Linked DNA regions of Nothobranchius furzeri. The protein of the gene in region 2 interacts with the protein of the main gene of each other region in a pairwise test. Links are inferred from orthologs where the notes say so. Each region holds a gene or a part of one and is shown on either strand. Other genes may lie near its edges. The genes, in order: gpn2 and gpn1.

Region 1 (4,257 bases), on a different chromosome or scaffold from region 2:
ACATCTATTATAAAAAAACAGTTTCTGTATTTATTGTAGTAAAAGTAAAAAACAAAAACAAAGTAATGGCGCTGCTAAACAAAGCTCAGCCGTTGCTCTCTTCTGCGTTCCTCGTTGTGGTTCCTCCGAGGTGTGGTGAAACTATTTTACTGTGCGGCAGCCAAATTTAGTTCCCGTCTATCCAGCTCTCTTGTACCACGGATAAATTCAGGACGGCCAAGAGCGATGTTGCCAAGTCTGAACAGGTAAGTCTGAGCTTTCTGTTTTAAAGCTGCATTATTTCCTCCTCCACAGTCTTTGCACTGGTTTCAACGTACTTCTCTTGCACACCAAGAGCACTGCAGGGTGGAACGTCAAGAAAAACCCAAACAAGATGAGTGAATGGTCTATTTATATAACCATGCTGGTAGGGTCATTAACTAATATGTCAGTGATGAAATAGAATCCTAATTAAGTGCTAAGTGGTAAAAGTGGCTTCAGGTCTGAAGTGAAAACAGATGAGTCATCAGAGTTGGGGAAAGGATACGAGCTGAACTGGAAGTCTGCTCCCACTGCAGCTGACATCATCGCCTGCAGATTTCTCTCCTCCAAGTCACCAAAGCAGTAGCCGTTGGCCTTGTCCACCGCTCGCAAGACCTGAATCATGCTCTCTTTGTCCTGGAGAGAAAAAAACAAAACAAAAGCACGTCATCTGGGATTTCCTCGTAAAAATTCTCTGAAACTATTTAAATTAGTCGACCAAAAACCTGACAAAATCCTGTTGGAGGTCCTTTGTATTTGTTCTTTTCCTGACTTATAACAGCAGGTAATCTCAGTATCCGCTAAACTTTTCAAATCTAGTTTCATCTTAACCCAGTTGCGTTTATCTCCTTCCAAGGATTTCTGAAGCCTTCTTGGAAACGCGGTGACTCCACAGCCTCCCGTGTTTTTGTTAATCAAGGTTTGGTTCTGGGAGATAAGCTGCACACAAAACCACAAGTAGTAAAGGTCTTTGACACAAGGTCAATCTTTCAAAAAAATATACTCTCAGGGTCAAAAGGTAGGCTTTCTTGCTTTTTAAATCTGTGCTAAATACCTGAGGTTACCTAGGTAACAAGTGGCTGCATAGGCTGGCTGGGGCATTCCCATCCTCACCACTAGAGCCGCTGTGTCTATTGTGTGGGTCTCTTAGAGTAATCAAACAGTTTTCCAGTTAAAAGTAATGTCAGGGACAAATGTGGTGTTTCATGTTAACTGTCCGTTCCATCGGAGGATAACTGCGCCAATCTTCAGGTTCAAATGCTAAAAGCAATTCATGATGGTCTGGTTTGAACTGAGAAATAGGAGGTGAGTGACCTGTGATTTCTCTGAACAGTTAGAAAGCCAACGTCAGACCTTAAAGTGATTTCTACGGACGTTCTGTGGGAACTCCGTCTTTGTAAAATCTACGAGCAAAAACGCACCAAAGAACTTGGTGCTCAGACCTCTGAGTGTACTAGAGCACCTTTGGTACAAAACTAATCTCAAATGAAATGCAAACGTACGTAATAAATATCCACTTGTGTGGTTTTACAGCTCAGGCAACAGGAAGCGGAAGTGTGAACCTTTAAAAAGCCACAACTGCACAACTAAAACCCGCAGTGATACCTGCACACTGAGAGGGACAAAGGAGACCAGGCTGTAATCTTGTATAACTTCGGCCAACTTCTCATTAAGGCGGCGAAACTTTTTAAAGAACGGATCTGCAGCCAAGTGATCGAGGAGAAAGGTCAGGTCCAAAACTTCGGTGTAAAAATCCAGGTTGAAGGCTGTAAATAAGGACAATAAGTTGAATGCTTGGTGTACAAGTTAGAAAACTATGCGTGTCATTCGAGAGAAACAAGCCACATTTATATTGTGTTTCCTGTTTATTTTGTATTTAGTTACAGCTAGCAGCTCTTGGTTTTACCTAGTTTTCCATACTGCTCAATCAAATCCATCTTAGAGAGGACATTGACGTGGGGCAGCTCCACGTGCAGCATGGTGGAAAGAGACGTGCACAGCACAGAGATGAACTTGGCTGGGTCAGCGCAGTAGTGAGAGTCCACAAGGTGCACCGCTGTCAGCTAAGGAGACGATTAGTGGAAAATCATCACCATCATGAGCATCTAGGGTGAAGAATGATCCCAACTTACCCTGAAATTCCACTTGGCCAGCTGTGAGAAAATGTTCTTTACTGAATGTTGGTGTGTGTAAAGCTCCACCTGACCGGGACAGTCAAACAAAAAGTAACAGTCTCTGTATTGTGCCAGCTTGCTCTCCAGCCAGTCCAGGTTCGTCTCCACATACTCCATACAATAGAGAAGTCCCCCGTTGGGTCCAAGCTTCAGATTCTCCATAACATCATCCAGAGTGACCAGATCTGAGATGTCCACCGCGCAGGAGCACGGTTTTCCTTCATTAGCTGGGTCCATGTTCACCACGACCACCTTGCGTCCCAGACTAGTTAGGAACTGCTGCATGCCCTGGCAGTAAGTGGTTTTACCTGAGCCCGGGGGTCCGATGACAACCTGACCGAAACGCAGTTGGGGCTTTCCTCCGGTCTCAGAGGTCATGGTTTAGAAATGCTCTCATCAGGCTGAGGGAGTTCACATCGGATGAGACCAGAAGATGTAAAAGGAACAACAACAACAACAACAACAACAAAAGACGTGCTGATGTGGCGTTAAAAAGGGCTCAGGTCAGTTTAGCTTCCCGCGTGAACGTTGTAACGCACTAAATGAGTTTTAAGCGAGTCGCTACACCCAACTAAGTTCTACAACTTTATAAACGTGCGACTCTTTGATCCAAAACACAACCTCAAACGAACAGAAATGCGCTGTAGCTGCACGGATTTGTTCATAAACACCAATGCGAGCCACACGTTGCGTACAAATGAATCAACACATAACAAATGCTAGCTTAAGCTAACAGGAAATACGTCCGGGTTAAAGGTCACGCTTGTCAAAATAAAAGCACTTTACGTAGCAGCGCAGCTCGAATGAAGAAACCCGGTTAATTTTGAGAGCACTTTAGTTTACTTTATCGCTACTTTGTATCACTTTATTATTTGCTCTAAACAATATTTGAATACAAAAAACAATGCTTAATGGAACATTAGGTTTCTCTGACTGAATTAATAAAAACGATTCTCAAATAATCTGAGTAAGTTAAAAATGCTTTAATACAAACTTGATACAAATATCAAACAGGTTAATATACAGATTTTATCAAACAGAACCAGTCATCTTTTTAAACCAATGACTCCCCCTGGTGTCCATCCTCTGTACTTCATGCTGGTGTTAGGTTGGCGTCTCAGTAAGGTGTCACCTTTATCAATGTCTTTAGGTTTATCGTACACTGTACATATGAGATGGTTTGTTTTGGCCTTTTTTAATGGATGCAATAACAGTTTTTCTCCATGATACCTGCAAGAAAACAAAACAAAACATCAGTATCCGATCGTTTTGTTTGCTCCCAGCTGTTGACTGATTGTGTTTCCGTGTTTTAACTGACCCAAAGCCCCTCTTGCATTTGGGATGTTGACCCTCATTCTCCAGAGCTTCAGAAATCCCAACCTGGCTGTCTCCCAGTCCCTCGCCATCTTTCCAGCCCTGCCTTTCCATTATGCGTCGACCAAAACCCTAAACCAAATAACATTTACTCTAAATTATTATTACAAAATAAAAAAATTCTCATCAAAAGAGCACACAAGAATGCAGAGAAATATTTGTGTGCACGCACCAAATCAGTGTAAATGAACTGATTCTGGATGTCTGGTGAATACTCAGCAATGACTGGTGAGGGGCGTTGCTGTAGGTGTGTGAGTGTGTTATGTCATGGTATATAAAGGTTATGTCCATAGACGTGTGGGTATTTATGTAGGAATGTGGAAGTGGGGTGAGCTGGGGGATGCCATGTTTTGTTTTGTTGACCGTGTTAAATGATCAAGGTTAACCTCCCACTACTTGTACCTGGTCAGCCTGTGTCTCAGTCTGATGAATGAATCGGGATTGAACGAAGAAAGAACGGATTAAATGAATAATGTTGGAAAGAAGCGGCTGGTATTATTGACCGGGCACGCGTCGGACAAACTGTTCCTCCAAGTTCAGCCCACGGTGGACCTCAAACACAACCACAACAGCATCTTGCCCTTACCTTAGAGAACCTCTCAAATCTTCCAATCGACTGATTGTGCCCTGATCCATCTTCAAGACCATCCCTAAGTCTCTTTTCATATCGCATGCTGACGTAGTCCCG
Region 2 (2,893 bases):
AATGAAATCAGGCTGCCCACAGCCATCTGCCATCATGCTTCTGCCCACACACTCGCTGAGATCCAGAGCCAGCAGCGTGGTCGGATAGAGGTGCTGCTGACTCACTCAGCAGAAAACGAGTGTGGAGCTAAAAGTCGATGCAGGATTCACGCTCGCCTCCAGCCTGCGCAGCGTTGTTGAAACATCAAACTCAATAGTCCCTTACCCATCAGGCAGACCTAATCCTAGTCCAGAAGAGACACAACTGGAGAATAAATTAGGGAAATAAAGTAAAAGCACCCCACCCCCCACCCCCCCCCCCCCCCCACACACACACACACAGCTAAACTGCAGCTGGCTCAGAATAGGCCCAGATCTGTCAGCTGTAGGACCAACGGAGTTGAATTCAGCATCACTGAAGTGACTGAAAACAAACAGAAGGGATCCTGATTCAGTAATGTTGAACATTTTGGACACGTTTGCAGAAAAATCAGGACATAAAAACCGGAACAATCAGAACATTTGAGTGTTAAAATGCCGCAGAGACGTTAGAAAGGAAGGCGTGGAGCTGAACCTGCTTCTATTGGAGCGGGAGCCTGACTGGATGGACGGATGCTTGGATAAGAAACTACTGGGTTCGTTTCACCCGACAGCAGAAAAACACGTATTAATATCAGTTTGTCTGCACTCCCTTCGTCTGAGCGTTCTCTCATTCATTCCAAAAGACAAGGACTTGGACCAGCATGAACCTAAAGTTTTATTTTGTTGATCGTGTATCTTTCCATCCTCAAAAACACAAACAAAAACAAACGAGACAAAACAAATAGAAAAATAGATTTATTTTTTTGCCCAGGCTGACGATGCTGGAAAACCAGTTTGAATGAGGGGTCAGAGGTCATCAGTCAGTTTAAAATGTTCTACATTGACAGGATCCATTCCATGTGATAGTCTGAGTCCAAAAACGAGATGGGGTCAGAGGTCAGGGAACATCGGGCTGCACACGCTTCTTGTTTCGAACCTGAACCACCTCCTTTCTCTCCTTCAAGAAGTTTCCAAAGGCGTCGTTCTCTTTGCTCTCCTCCGTCACTGCAAACCAAGTCAACAGCTAATGAACAGGTACTCTCACTGAAGCCCCACCCACATCAGCAGCCATGTTTCTCACTAACGGCAAAATCAAGCAAGGTTAAAATGCTAATGGTGTTTGTGTTCGTGTCTCACCGCTGTGGTCGATGTCATCTGTATCGCTGTCCACCTCCTCCTGGTCGTCGTCCAGGTTTCCCCGAGTCATGATGAGGTCACTGGGTCCTGTGAGATCAGCCTCTTCTGAGAAAGGGAAGTTACCGATCTTATCAAATCAGAATTTTACTGCAGCGGGGTGGAGGGGTTTCCTGTCTGTTTACCTGAAGATGGAGCGGAGGTCATGTTCACGGCTCCCAAGTCCTTCCGGAGACGCTCCAGCTGCTCCTGCTGTTTCCTGCTCTGGAGTTCTGCCTGGAGACCAGGAAGTACAATAAGACAAGCAAAACACACCTAGACAACACTGGAACACACACTCACCAGCTGCTTACGGAGACGCTCATATTCAGGACGATAGTCCCTACAGAGGAACAAAATTCAGTTACGTTTCCTGACCTATGACCTCTAAACCTCGATCCTGACGGCCATGTTGACAGAAGAGCTTTCCGTGTCTTCGTGTCCTTACTCACCTCTCGTACTCTTTGGCAGCGTCCTCCACCTGCGCAAACAACTCCTTCAATCCACTTCCTGTCACTGCAGAGACGCCCACCACCTGTCCACAGAGATGTCACAGCTCTGCTCTTCATCTTCTCTCTCACACTCACACGCACACACAGTCGCCTCGCCAAGGTGGCGTCTTACCCTCAGGTTGGTATAGAACTCATCCAGAACCAGGCTCATGGAGCGGGTTAAGTTGCTCACATATGACGTCTCCTGGTTAAGAGCATCCTGAAAGACCTCGAAGTCCTGCATCCACTCCACTGCAAAGCTGTGGTCGATGATGTCAGTCTGCAACATCGAGACAACCCTTCAGCAAGAACTACAAAGCTGGAGGTCTTTCTTCTGTGTCTATGGCCTGGTCCCATTAGCCGCACTGCATCCCACGGTCCTCAGCGAAGTGCACAGCAAGGCTTAGGGTGCAAGCAGCTAGCCTGTTGTCGCCCTCTGCTGCCCGCCCGCTTGGATCGTGCATGGGACTGCATCATCGGAGGGGGGAGAGCGGGCAGCAGAGGGCGACATCGTCCTTTGCTATCCGCGGATAAACAGAGTAGGAAGTGACGCCACCATCGGCGTCAGCTCTGAGGATGTTTTGCAGAAACTAGACACAGTAAGAACACACCAACGACGCCCCAACCAGACTGTGGTCTTCTGCTAAACGTGAAATCAAACTATATAATGAGGCTGAGACTTCAGACTCTTATTTTGAAAGGCTCAAGCATGTATTACATTGGTGTTGTCTAGTTCCCCTTTTCCTATCTGATATTTGTAGTTAACATTTTATTGTACAAATTTCACCTGCATTTCAGTATTTAGGTTGTCACGTTCCTCAAAGTCACATATTTAATAATATCCACATCCGATCAGAACTTCATATGTCTCATTAACATGTTCAGTAGGAAGTAGGGCTGCAACAACAAATCGATGAAAACTGATTATTAAAAGCGTTGGCAATGAATTGCGTCATCGATTCGTTGTGTTGCACAACTCTTCCAAAATTATTATTGTCAAGCAAATCATGCACACCTCAAAAAGCAGCAGTCGTCACAAATAGCAGCTGTAAGACAATTCAGGTGATAGCATGTTGTTTTTCTGCTATTGAACTATTTTCTGCTATTGAACTATCACACCTGTACTGGCGCGGCTCCACTGGCTACCCGTAAACTTTAGGGTCAAGTTT

Evidence for each region.
Region 1: the proteins of gpn1 (region 2) and gpn2 interact in binary tests that used the Homo sapiens proteins (3 or more experiments, as listed by UniProt). The link is inferred for Nothobranchius furzeri from reciprocal best matches to the Homo sapiens genes GPN1 and GPN2.

The regions. Positions count from the first base shown.
Region 1 is NC_091745.1:40,677,130-40,681,386, forward strand, and holds gpn2 (GPN-loop GTPase 2), read right to left. Parts: upstream 2,913-4,257; 5' UTR 2,574-2,912; coding exon 2,154-2,573; intron 2,085-2,153; coding exon 1,928-2,084; intron 1,788-1,927; coding exon 1,627-1,787; intron 658-1,626; coding exon 527-657; intron 339-526; coding exon 266-338; 3' UTR 12-265; downstream 1-11. Other genes in the region: gpatch3 (G patch domain-containing protein 3), read right to left, coding at 3,242-3,425, 3,514-3,641, 4,156-4,257. UniProt on the Homo sapiens protein: Small GTPase required for proper localization of RNA polymerase II and III (RNAPII and RNAPIII). May act at an RNAP assembly step prior to nuclear import.
Region 2 is NC_091749.1:65,752,927-65,755,819, reverse strand, and holds the end of gpn1 (GPN-loop GTPase 1), read right to left. Parts: intron 2,005-2,893; coding exon 1,858-2,004; intron 1,769-1,857; coding exon 1,686-1,768; intron 1,577-1,685; coding exon 1,537-1,576; intron 1,471-1,536; coding exon 1,380-1,470; intron 1,303-1,379; coding exon 1,198-1,302; intron 1,066-1,197; coding exon 959-1,065; 3' UTR 724-958; downstream 1-723. UniProt on the Homo sapiens protein: Small GTPase required for proper nuclear import of RNA polymerase II (RNAPII). May act at an RNAP assembly step prior to nuclear import.